Linked DNA regions of Oryzias latipes. The protein of the gene in region 1 interacts with the protein of each later gene in a pairwise test. Links are inferred from orthologs where the notes say so. Each region holds a gene or a part of one and is shown on either strand. Other genes may lie near its edges.

Evidence for each region.
Region 2: the proteins of rad23a (region 1) and mindy3 interact in binary tests that used the Homo sapiens proteins (3 or more experiments, as listed by UniProt). The two-hybrid records come from large-scale screens. The link is inferred for Oryzias latipes from reciprocal best matches to the Homo sapiens genes RAD23A and MINDY3.

The regions. Positions count from the first base shown.
Region 1 is NC_019866.2:22,942,520-22,946,641, forward strand, and holds the start of rad23a (UV excision repair protein RAD23 homolog A), read right to left. Parts: upstream 2,801-4,122; 5' UTR 2,616-2,800; coding exon 2,550-2,615; intron 1,892-2,549; coding exon 1,730-1,891; intron 1,626-1,729; coding exon 1,429-1,625; intron 1-1,428. UniProt on the Homo sapiens protein: Multiubiquitin chain receptor involved in modulation of proteasomal degradation. Binds to 'Lys-48'-linked polyubiquitin chains in a length-dependent manner and with a lower affinity to 'Lys-63'-linked polyubiquitin chains.
Region 2 is NC_019874.2:16,911,209-16,915,417, reverse strand, and holds the start of mindy3 (ubiquitin carboxyl-terminal hydrolase MINDY-3), read left to right. Parts: upstream 1-1,409; 5' UTR 1,410-1,542; intron 1,543-1,989; 5' UTR 1,990-2,127; coding exon 2,128-2,221; intron 2,222-2,513; coding exon 2,514-2,593; intron 2,594-2,702; coding exon 2,703-2,763; intron 2,764-2,873; coding exon 2,874-3,080; intron 3,081-3,254; coding exon 3,255-3,306; intron 3,307-3,948; coding exon 3,949-4,063; intron 4,064-4,209. Other genes in the region: probable assembly chaperone of rpl4, read right to left, coding at 153-299, 436-582, 668-783, 927-996. UniProt on the Homo sapiens protein: Hydrolase that can remove 'Lys-48'-linked conjugated ubiquitin from proteins.

The DNA.
Region 1 (4,122 bases):
GTTTAGCCTCCACTCAATCAACCCCTCCTGCTTTCACCGCCCGGGTGGTAGCCTCCTGCTTTCCCTCCTAGAAGCCTCCTACTCTGAAAACTTTGGAGGCCCCTGTTTAACAGCAGAGAAGTTATTAGTGATGTCCAGATCTGATCACGTGAGCAGAAATCAGGCCGACTGAGTCGTTTCGCATTGGACTGGAAAAAATAACCCCGATCAGGACATCCCTCTAAATTTACTGAATAATGTTGGATTTTACGTTTAGAAACTAAACGAACTTTAAGCGCTTCTGTCCCCCGAAGTAAATAAATCTATACAGTAAAAGTGTTTTTATGTAGATTAAAAAATTGGACAGATGTTCATTTCACTGAAATAAGTTCCGGAAAAGTACCGTAAATTCCGGACTACAAAGCGCACCCAATTACAAGCCGCACCCACCCATTTTCACGTGTTTAACTACTTTTCTACATACACAAGCCGCGTCGGAGTACAAGCCGCATGTATTAGGCAACATTGTCATCCTGACAAATCACGTCCTGCCTCCCAGAGTAAGTGTGATGGTGGATTTTTTCACGCTGCTTCTAACGATTGCTTTTAACTTGAAAGCTTCATCATATTGCAGTGGCGATCACGTGCACGTTGGGTCTAATGGCACCAAAGGATTCTGGGATGCGGCTGGGCATGCGTGTTTCGTTTGTGGAACCATGACTGAAGTGTCTAAGACCTGAAGTTAGGTCCATGCTGTTTGGCTGCCTAGACGTGTATTGAAAAACAAATGACTTGCCCTTGGTGTTAGATAGAGAATTCTAACCATTCACTGTGTCCGAAAGTACGTACATGGCGGCCGCCAAATAAAACCATAAATTAGCCTCGTCACTGAATAAGCCGCACGGCTGTAAGCGCAGGAAAAAAGTAGCGGCTTATAGTTCGGAAATTACGGTAATTGTTTTAAATATGGTCGATGTTATTCGCAGGCGTTTACGTGCAACCAGCACAAAAACTGATGGAAAAACATGTGGATCACACGAAAACCATGTGGCCCAAATACACATTGCTGCACGTATTTGAACCCTAACCTTACCTGTAACCATAAGCCCTGCCCTAATTACGGTGAAATAGTCACTTCCTTTAAATCTAATTGTCGATTTAAGTAAAAAATGTGATACAAAAGTTAAGGATATTATGAAAATCTTGTAAATGATTTGCAAAGTCATTGTAACTATGATGGAGACGTCAGTGTCTGAATCCCGCAAAACAACAAAATGATGTTTGTTTTTGTTTTGTTTATAAAGAAAACAACAGCCGAACTCACTGCATTCTGCTGAATTAAATGCTAAGTCATCGTACAAACCCGCTCAGATTTAAGTGACTTCTTTCCCCATTTCGTCTCCCTTTTCTACCAGCTGACACCGGCGAGCGTGGCGGTACGCCTGTTACCTGGCGGGCTGCTGTGGTTCTGTGGCTTCGGCACTTTGCTCCTGTTTGGCCTCCTCAGGAGGAATAGGGACAGCTGCAGGGGTGGGTGCAGCAGGAGGATTTGAAGGCGGGGCAGCGGTTGATGTGGAGCCAGAGTCCTGTGCGGGGGGCTTGGGGGCTTCCGGGGCTGGTGCCGAGGTCGTGGCTGCAGGCTTAGCCTAACGTGTTCAGAAAACAAATGAAAACGTCAGAGGAACTGCATCCAGACGCGAGTCCGCTGCACACATAAAAAAAGATAAAAAGCTGGACCATGCAGTCTCACCTTGGATACCATCACTACAACAAAATTCTTCTCATCGATTTTGTAGTCTTTGATTGGCGTATCGTCTTGCAAGATTTTCCCGGCGTATATCAGCTTCTGCCCAGAAACAGGAAAGTTGTCTTTTCCTCGTTCAGCCTCTATCTTCTCCTTCAAGGCCTTGACCTGACACACAAGAGGGCAGACATGATGGTCGGACTACCCGGAGGCAGCCTATCCTCAACACCTGAAAGCCACACCCCAGCCGCCTCCATGCGAAAAAGGCCAAATCTGGAGCACCAGCGTGTATTTTACTTTTGTTAGACATCTAAACAGTAGAAGTTAACCCAATCCATCTAGGCTTCCAGAGCTGGGCTATCTATCAGGAGCTAGGCGTGATTGGCAGTGTCATGATGAGCATTTAGAGCACGCGCATCATCCTTCGTCACCACCAGCGCACTGACTGAGCGTCTCTGATTCACACATGTTGGTGGTTTTACCTCATATATTCACAGCCAAAAAGGCCGCAACAATCCTCTGTCAGCAACTTCAACTAGTGACAACCAGCTTTCAGGTGGCGGCCCAATGACTCTGTTAATTTTAGCAACATTAGCTTGAAACCTAGCTTAGCGAGGTAGCTTCAGCGCGTAAAGGAACAGGTGTGTTCTTAATTTTAAGCATTTTTTGTGTGGCTTAAATGTTCACACAATTCAGAAATTAATTCGATGTGATAAAAGTTAGTTCCTTTCACTGTACCTGCTCTATGGAGCTGTCGGGTGTGCACGCGGAGCTAAAAGACAACTCCGGTGCTGGAAGCTAACGCAGTTAGCTGTTAGCCACTTACCGTTTGTTCGGGGTCTATTTCAATCTGAATCGTCTGCTGCTGCAGCGTTTTCAGAGTGATCTGCATGGCGGCGTCCGGTGTGCTTCAAACTGGAAAAAGAGCGGCGCACTAAAGGAAAAAAAAGTCAGTCTGTGTCTCAGGTTCGCGTTTTGAGTAAGATAACAACTAGCCGAGAAATGTGTGTATCCATGAGCACTCAGCAAATCGCCATCTTTGGTGACAAGTTACGGGCACTCCTGCTTGGAGGCTGTGAGATATCGCGAGAAACCACGAGAGGGCCAGCAGCACAAAAGCTTTAGAAAACAAGCAAGACAAACACACGCGCACAGAAATCACAAGACTTATAACTTTTTAACTATATAGAAATACATTCTGATCATGTTAAGTGCCTGTGAGACTCAAAGTCCCACTTTGATCATCTTTTGATCTATTTTCAAAGCGTTCCTGGTGGTCTTTTAGTGACGATTATGCTGTTTTTAGACAAAAAAATTCAAAAACCTGTGTTGATTTCGTGGACGTAGTTCCTGCAAAGCAGCAGCAGTTCATTAAAAATTCACCTCTAAGTTTGTAGGAAACACTTCTGGTGCGGAGCTACCCAGGCCCCCCTTCCCATCACCCTTCTGTTTACATGCTCTCCTGCTAGCTTACAGCCCCACACAACCTAACATTATCAGTGCAACAAATATTGGTGCTGACCGGCTTTGAGCCAGACGCCAGCTCGGACGAGTAAAACAAAGATGTAGCCTACATGGATCTGGTCTACAGGCGGATGCATCAAAATGCAGCAAAGCAGTGAGTTTGTGGCCCCGCCCAGTGTATTTTCTAGGTCACAAGTATCCGTGTCACAGCTACAAGCTTTCTAAGATGGCATTTTTTTTGTCTGTTCCAGATTCACAAAACTTTTATACACATCATGTTCTGACCCATCCCCTGGGGGAGCGGTGACACAGCTGTGCTCGGGATCCCCCCCAATTTGAAGCTGAATTTTCTTTATATGTGTTCTCCATTGTCCGAAAAATGCCACAAGAACAATTTAAAAACCCCACTTTCATTGGGGTGGGTCTTTGAGTCTGAAGCGACGTTTACAACGCCAAATCACTACCAAATCCGAGTCCCTGATTGGTCAAAGTTTGACCTGGTTAACCTTTCATCACACACAGTCAATGGTCGCAAGTTTTGAACACAAAAACCTATAGCTATGCGTGATGCGAGACGCCCAAAACACGCATTTACTTAAACTTTGCATTAGAAGGAGCCACATAACCATAAACTTCATCGTGCTGTAAACTTCTTTTATTCATCATTGGGTATAATATTAACTCACTCTTTGTTTATTTCCTCCTGATTCAGGCACAGTGGATATCTGCATTCACACCTGGAGGGCCTTTTTTCTGCACAGCAGACTTTAATGCCACTATCACACGACCAACACAAACTGGTTCAAACGAAAGGACTTTGGTGTCAACGTGTGTCAATGAAAACCTAGGAGAAAGGGATTCTTTGGGTATCTGCTGCATAAAAGAGTTTAGGAAGTGATTTTAAAAGACAGAATTGAGCACTTTGAACATGATTT
Region 2 (4,209 bases), on another chromosome or scaffold:
GCTTAAACAATGAACAGAAAATATGTATTGTCAAACAGCACCCTCTTGTGGTCGTAATAATGCCTAAAATACCACACAATTTTAAAATAATGTTTTACTTTTTGTTTCATGATTCACTGAGTTGTTTTTTTTTTCAACATCTTTTCACTTACTGTTTCTTGTTTCTCCAATGTTGACAGTAGTACTTGTATCCCTTTAGTGTAGTAACCTACAGCCTCCAATCCGGTGTGGATTTGTCCAAGGTACATGTATTTACTGTGGCCTTCATCTGGACTCAGCTCCACTGCACGAAGGAAAACTTAGAGGAAACTAGTCAAGGAGAAGAATTATATCGAAAATAAAGAGAAATATAAGAGCTGTGTCTCTGTGACTTAGGATTAATACATAAATGCAATATTATTTATAAGAAAAACAACATAAAAAATGATAGGATATTCCTTTGGCTTTCTGTGTGTCTCCCAACTCAGAGCAGATGTGTCCCTGCATGTCAAGTGCTTGCAGGTTGTTGGGGTCCACATCCAAGGCTCGCTGACAGAAGAGGCCAGCCATCTCAAAGTCAAAGCTGTCCATGTATTCTTCAGTCTGTACAAATGCAGTTAAGACCAAATTATTCCCCGTAGTAAAGTAATATTTAAATAAACAAACCCGAACATGCTCACAACATGACCTTCTCAAGTAGTTGCTCCACTGAATATTTCTGGGATGTCTTCTTCTTAGCTTTCTCGTGCATTCTTAGCTTCATCCTTTCTTGAGGTGACAAATCAACAAATCCTCCAGCATCTGCTGTAGTGACAGGCTTAGTGTTAGTTTTGTCTAACTAGAATCCCATAATAGTCAAAGCAGGTAATATATTAGGTTATTTTCTTATGTTAGGTACCATCCAGTCCACTTGTAACGAAATGACTACTTTGTCCTGTACATATTACCCTTTTTAGTTCGATGGTTTTTCCTCTTCGGTTTGTTGTTCTTCTTACTGCTCTTTGCCTGACCTCCCATGTCTAAGGATAATCGGTTTTATAGATTTGCAATGTGATTGTAAATCCGAATTTTCCCCCAACGTGAGAACAGAGCAAAAGCGTGTTAACACACTAGGCAAATGCTTGAAGTGCGCATGCGGCAATGTTGACAAATTAACCACTACGGAGGCTGGTAGTGGACATTTTAGTGCCGTCACGACTTTGCTTAAGTCACCATTTTATTATGAGTCTTTTTCAGTAGTACTACTCTATCTTGAGTCTTTCCTTATTTATTCATTCTTTGAAAAAAATTAAATTATCACTAATTTTCAGAATTATCTTTCTCTCTGTTACGTAAATGTGGGCAGGTGTTCGACTTTATTGACATATCATTTGACCAATGAGCTAACAACTTGGCCCTCATGATGTCAACCAATCGGGAGTTACGTACAGATTTACGTACGTACGTTTCCCCCCCACAGTTTGCTGTCAGTAAATATACGAATGACGGAAAAGTGGCATTCGGTGGTAATTTCAACAAAAATATATTCACAGAGAAATTCTGACAGCTCGACTTTTTACCGAGGTGACCGAAAATTCTACATCTGGACTTAACTGTTTATTTGTAGTCGCTACTGATTAATGGGAAGTGAATGACACAAAGCAACGGTTAGCTGCTGGTAGCGTTGCTGCTAATGCTAGGCTGGGTTATTGCCAAAACAGCTTTACATTTTTAATTATTATTGTTAAGTCGCGAATTATTTTAAATTATAGCAAACCAGGGTGCTCTTAATTTTTATAATCAATTATTTTGTGTCTTCAAATGTATGGTTTACCGTTTGGTGGTTGCATGCAGCTCTTCTTAGCTGTTAGCAGTTGATGAAGCTAGTTTCAAACATTCATTGCAGAAAAATATTATTACGTTATCAGCCGTCAACAGTTCCACTGCACTTTGACATTTGAGGTCTGACTTAATCTTTAAACTGCTTCCGGGTGATAAACCAATAGTAATTTGTGTTTTTCACCTTTTTAGCTATAGGTTGATTTGGCAAAGTTGATGTCATCCCTACTCGTGCGTTTGGTGCCAGTTTAGTCTCAGGAGTGGCTTGTGGCAGATGTCACAGGCACAGCCTTTAAAAAAAGTGGATTATAAGAAGAACCGAAATAAAACATGTCAGAGCTGAATAAAGAGGTGGTGGACTTGGTCTGGGGGAGGACTTCTGATGGAGGTGTGTCAGCCTCAATCTTTCGAAGATGGACCCAAGGTATGATCATGTATTTGAATGTCCTAAAATGAACAATAATGTTTATTTGATAAATGGAATCATCAATGCTTTGACATTTTCCCTCCTGGTTTCTAGCTGATGGAGGAATTTCTCAATATTACTGAAAATCATTACCGTTTCCTGCTTATGTTTGGATGTTTTGTTGAAATCCCTCTGAAACTCAAATTTAATGTGGGCCCTTCTTGAAGTGGAGGTGTGAGTGCTTCTTACAAACTCAGAAAATATCAAAGTAAGTTTTCTTTTGTACCTTATTTTCTCTCCCGTTAAACAGGGTTTGTTTTTAGCGAGTATGAACCCACAGCGCTGGAGCAGTTTGAAGGAGGACCATGTGCTGTAATTGCACCTGTCCAGGTACTGTCTTGTTGCTTTATCAAATCAAGATATAAAAGTTTTTTTGGAACTTGCCATTGAGTCTGTCCTTACACAGTCTGAGAGGGTTTTTTTTTTTTTTTTTATACAGGCTTTTCTTTTGAAGAATATACTTTTTAACAGAGAAAGCTCCAACTGGAGACAACTACCAGGTAGATTATTAGTGGGGGAAAAAAACATTCAAGCTACAAATTTTGGTGTTACTTATGTAGTTTTGTTACGTTTTCATTTCAATTAATCAACATTGTCTCTATCTGTTTAGAGGAAGAACAGAAAACAGCCCTGTGTTCTACGTTGAGTGAAATTCTTGAGTCAGCCTGTGCCAGCCTTTCAACTGGGTTCTGCATTGTGACCTGGGCTAAGGGACATTCCCCAGACACTGGCAAACTTACTGCAACAGAGCCAGAGTCACAGGTACAAACACAGGACAAGCCCGAAAGCAGCAAGCCTCTGCAGGAGCAGCAACCCAGTAAGTGCTGTGTCTATCACTTTCTAGCATGAGATGCATGCATTAATTTAGTGCCCACTCATTTACTGAGGCGTTGTTTTATGTCAAAAATGGGGGGGGGGGTATTTTGTTATGACTAACCTTTTCAAGATTTTGTTTTGCTTGTTAAGAGATTGTGTGTTCTCTTTTGCCTAGCTTATTCGGTTGCTGAGGATCTTAGCTTTGAGCGATTTCACAGTGTTCTCCAGTAAGTGACACTAAGTGTTCTAACATATGAAGCACTTTGCATCTTGGCAGCTGAATTCACCTGATGTGATCCTAATATTGAGTAATGCATTGTGTTTTCTATAATGTTAAGACCTCGCACATCATTCTTTTACAGTTACATGTATTAAACTTTTTCACCATGCTAAAAATTTGATGACTCAGGACTATCCTTGATTACCCAGTATGAAAAAAAGATACGTCTTATACAGTACACCATGTTTTTAGATGGTTCACCCAAGTGAAATAAATGCAGTCTGAGATTTGTAAAAAATCTGTTTTGACTTAAAACACAGAGGGGCTTGGTGACTTTGATGGACAGCTCTAACATCAAGATTTAAGATTCCTCTGCAAACCTGTAGAATATGTTTTCTTTTCTGTTACATTTAATTAGTCTACATTTAATTTTTATCTTGGTCTCACATCCTAAAGGACTGACTGATTTGTCTTAATTGTTGTTGCAACAAATACATACGCAATGAAATTGCCCATTTTTTAGATGAGGAGAAATCACATGGGGGAAACAGTGGTGGCAAAAAAAAAGCCTAGCGGATCTGACTTTCTTGATGAATTAATTTCTGTATTTATTGTTCTTTTGAACCTACAGTTGATTTTTATCTTTCAGCAAACGAACCATCCTGTCAGCATCAGATCTGAGAGAAGAGGTGTTGTCTCTCTACCACTCCTGGAGGGGGTGCTGTGGAGTTTTACTTTTCCTCTACTCCGTCATCCTCACCAAGGTAAAAATGTTAATTCTTCTCTAAAAATGATTGCAAAATATTTTTGTTTGTTTGTATGTGTTTTTTTTTTTTAAAAAAAAACATTAAATAGTAATGTTTTGACCTTCAAGAGGATTTTGCATCAATATTCTGGTTTCTGTTTTTTG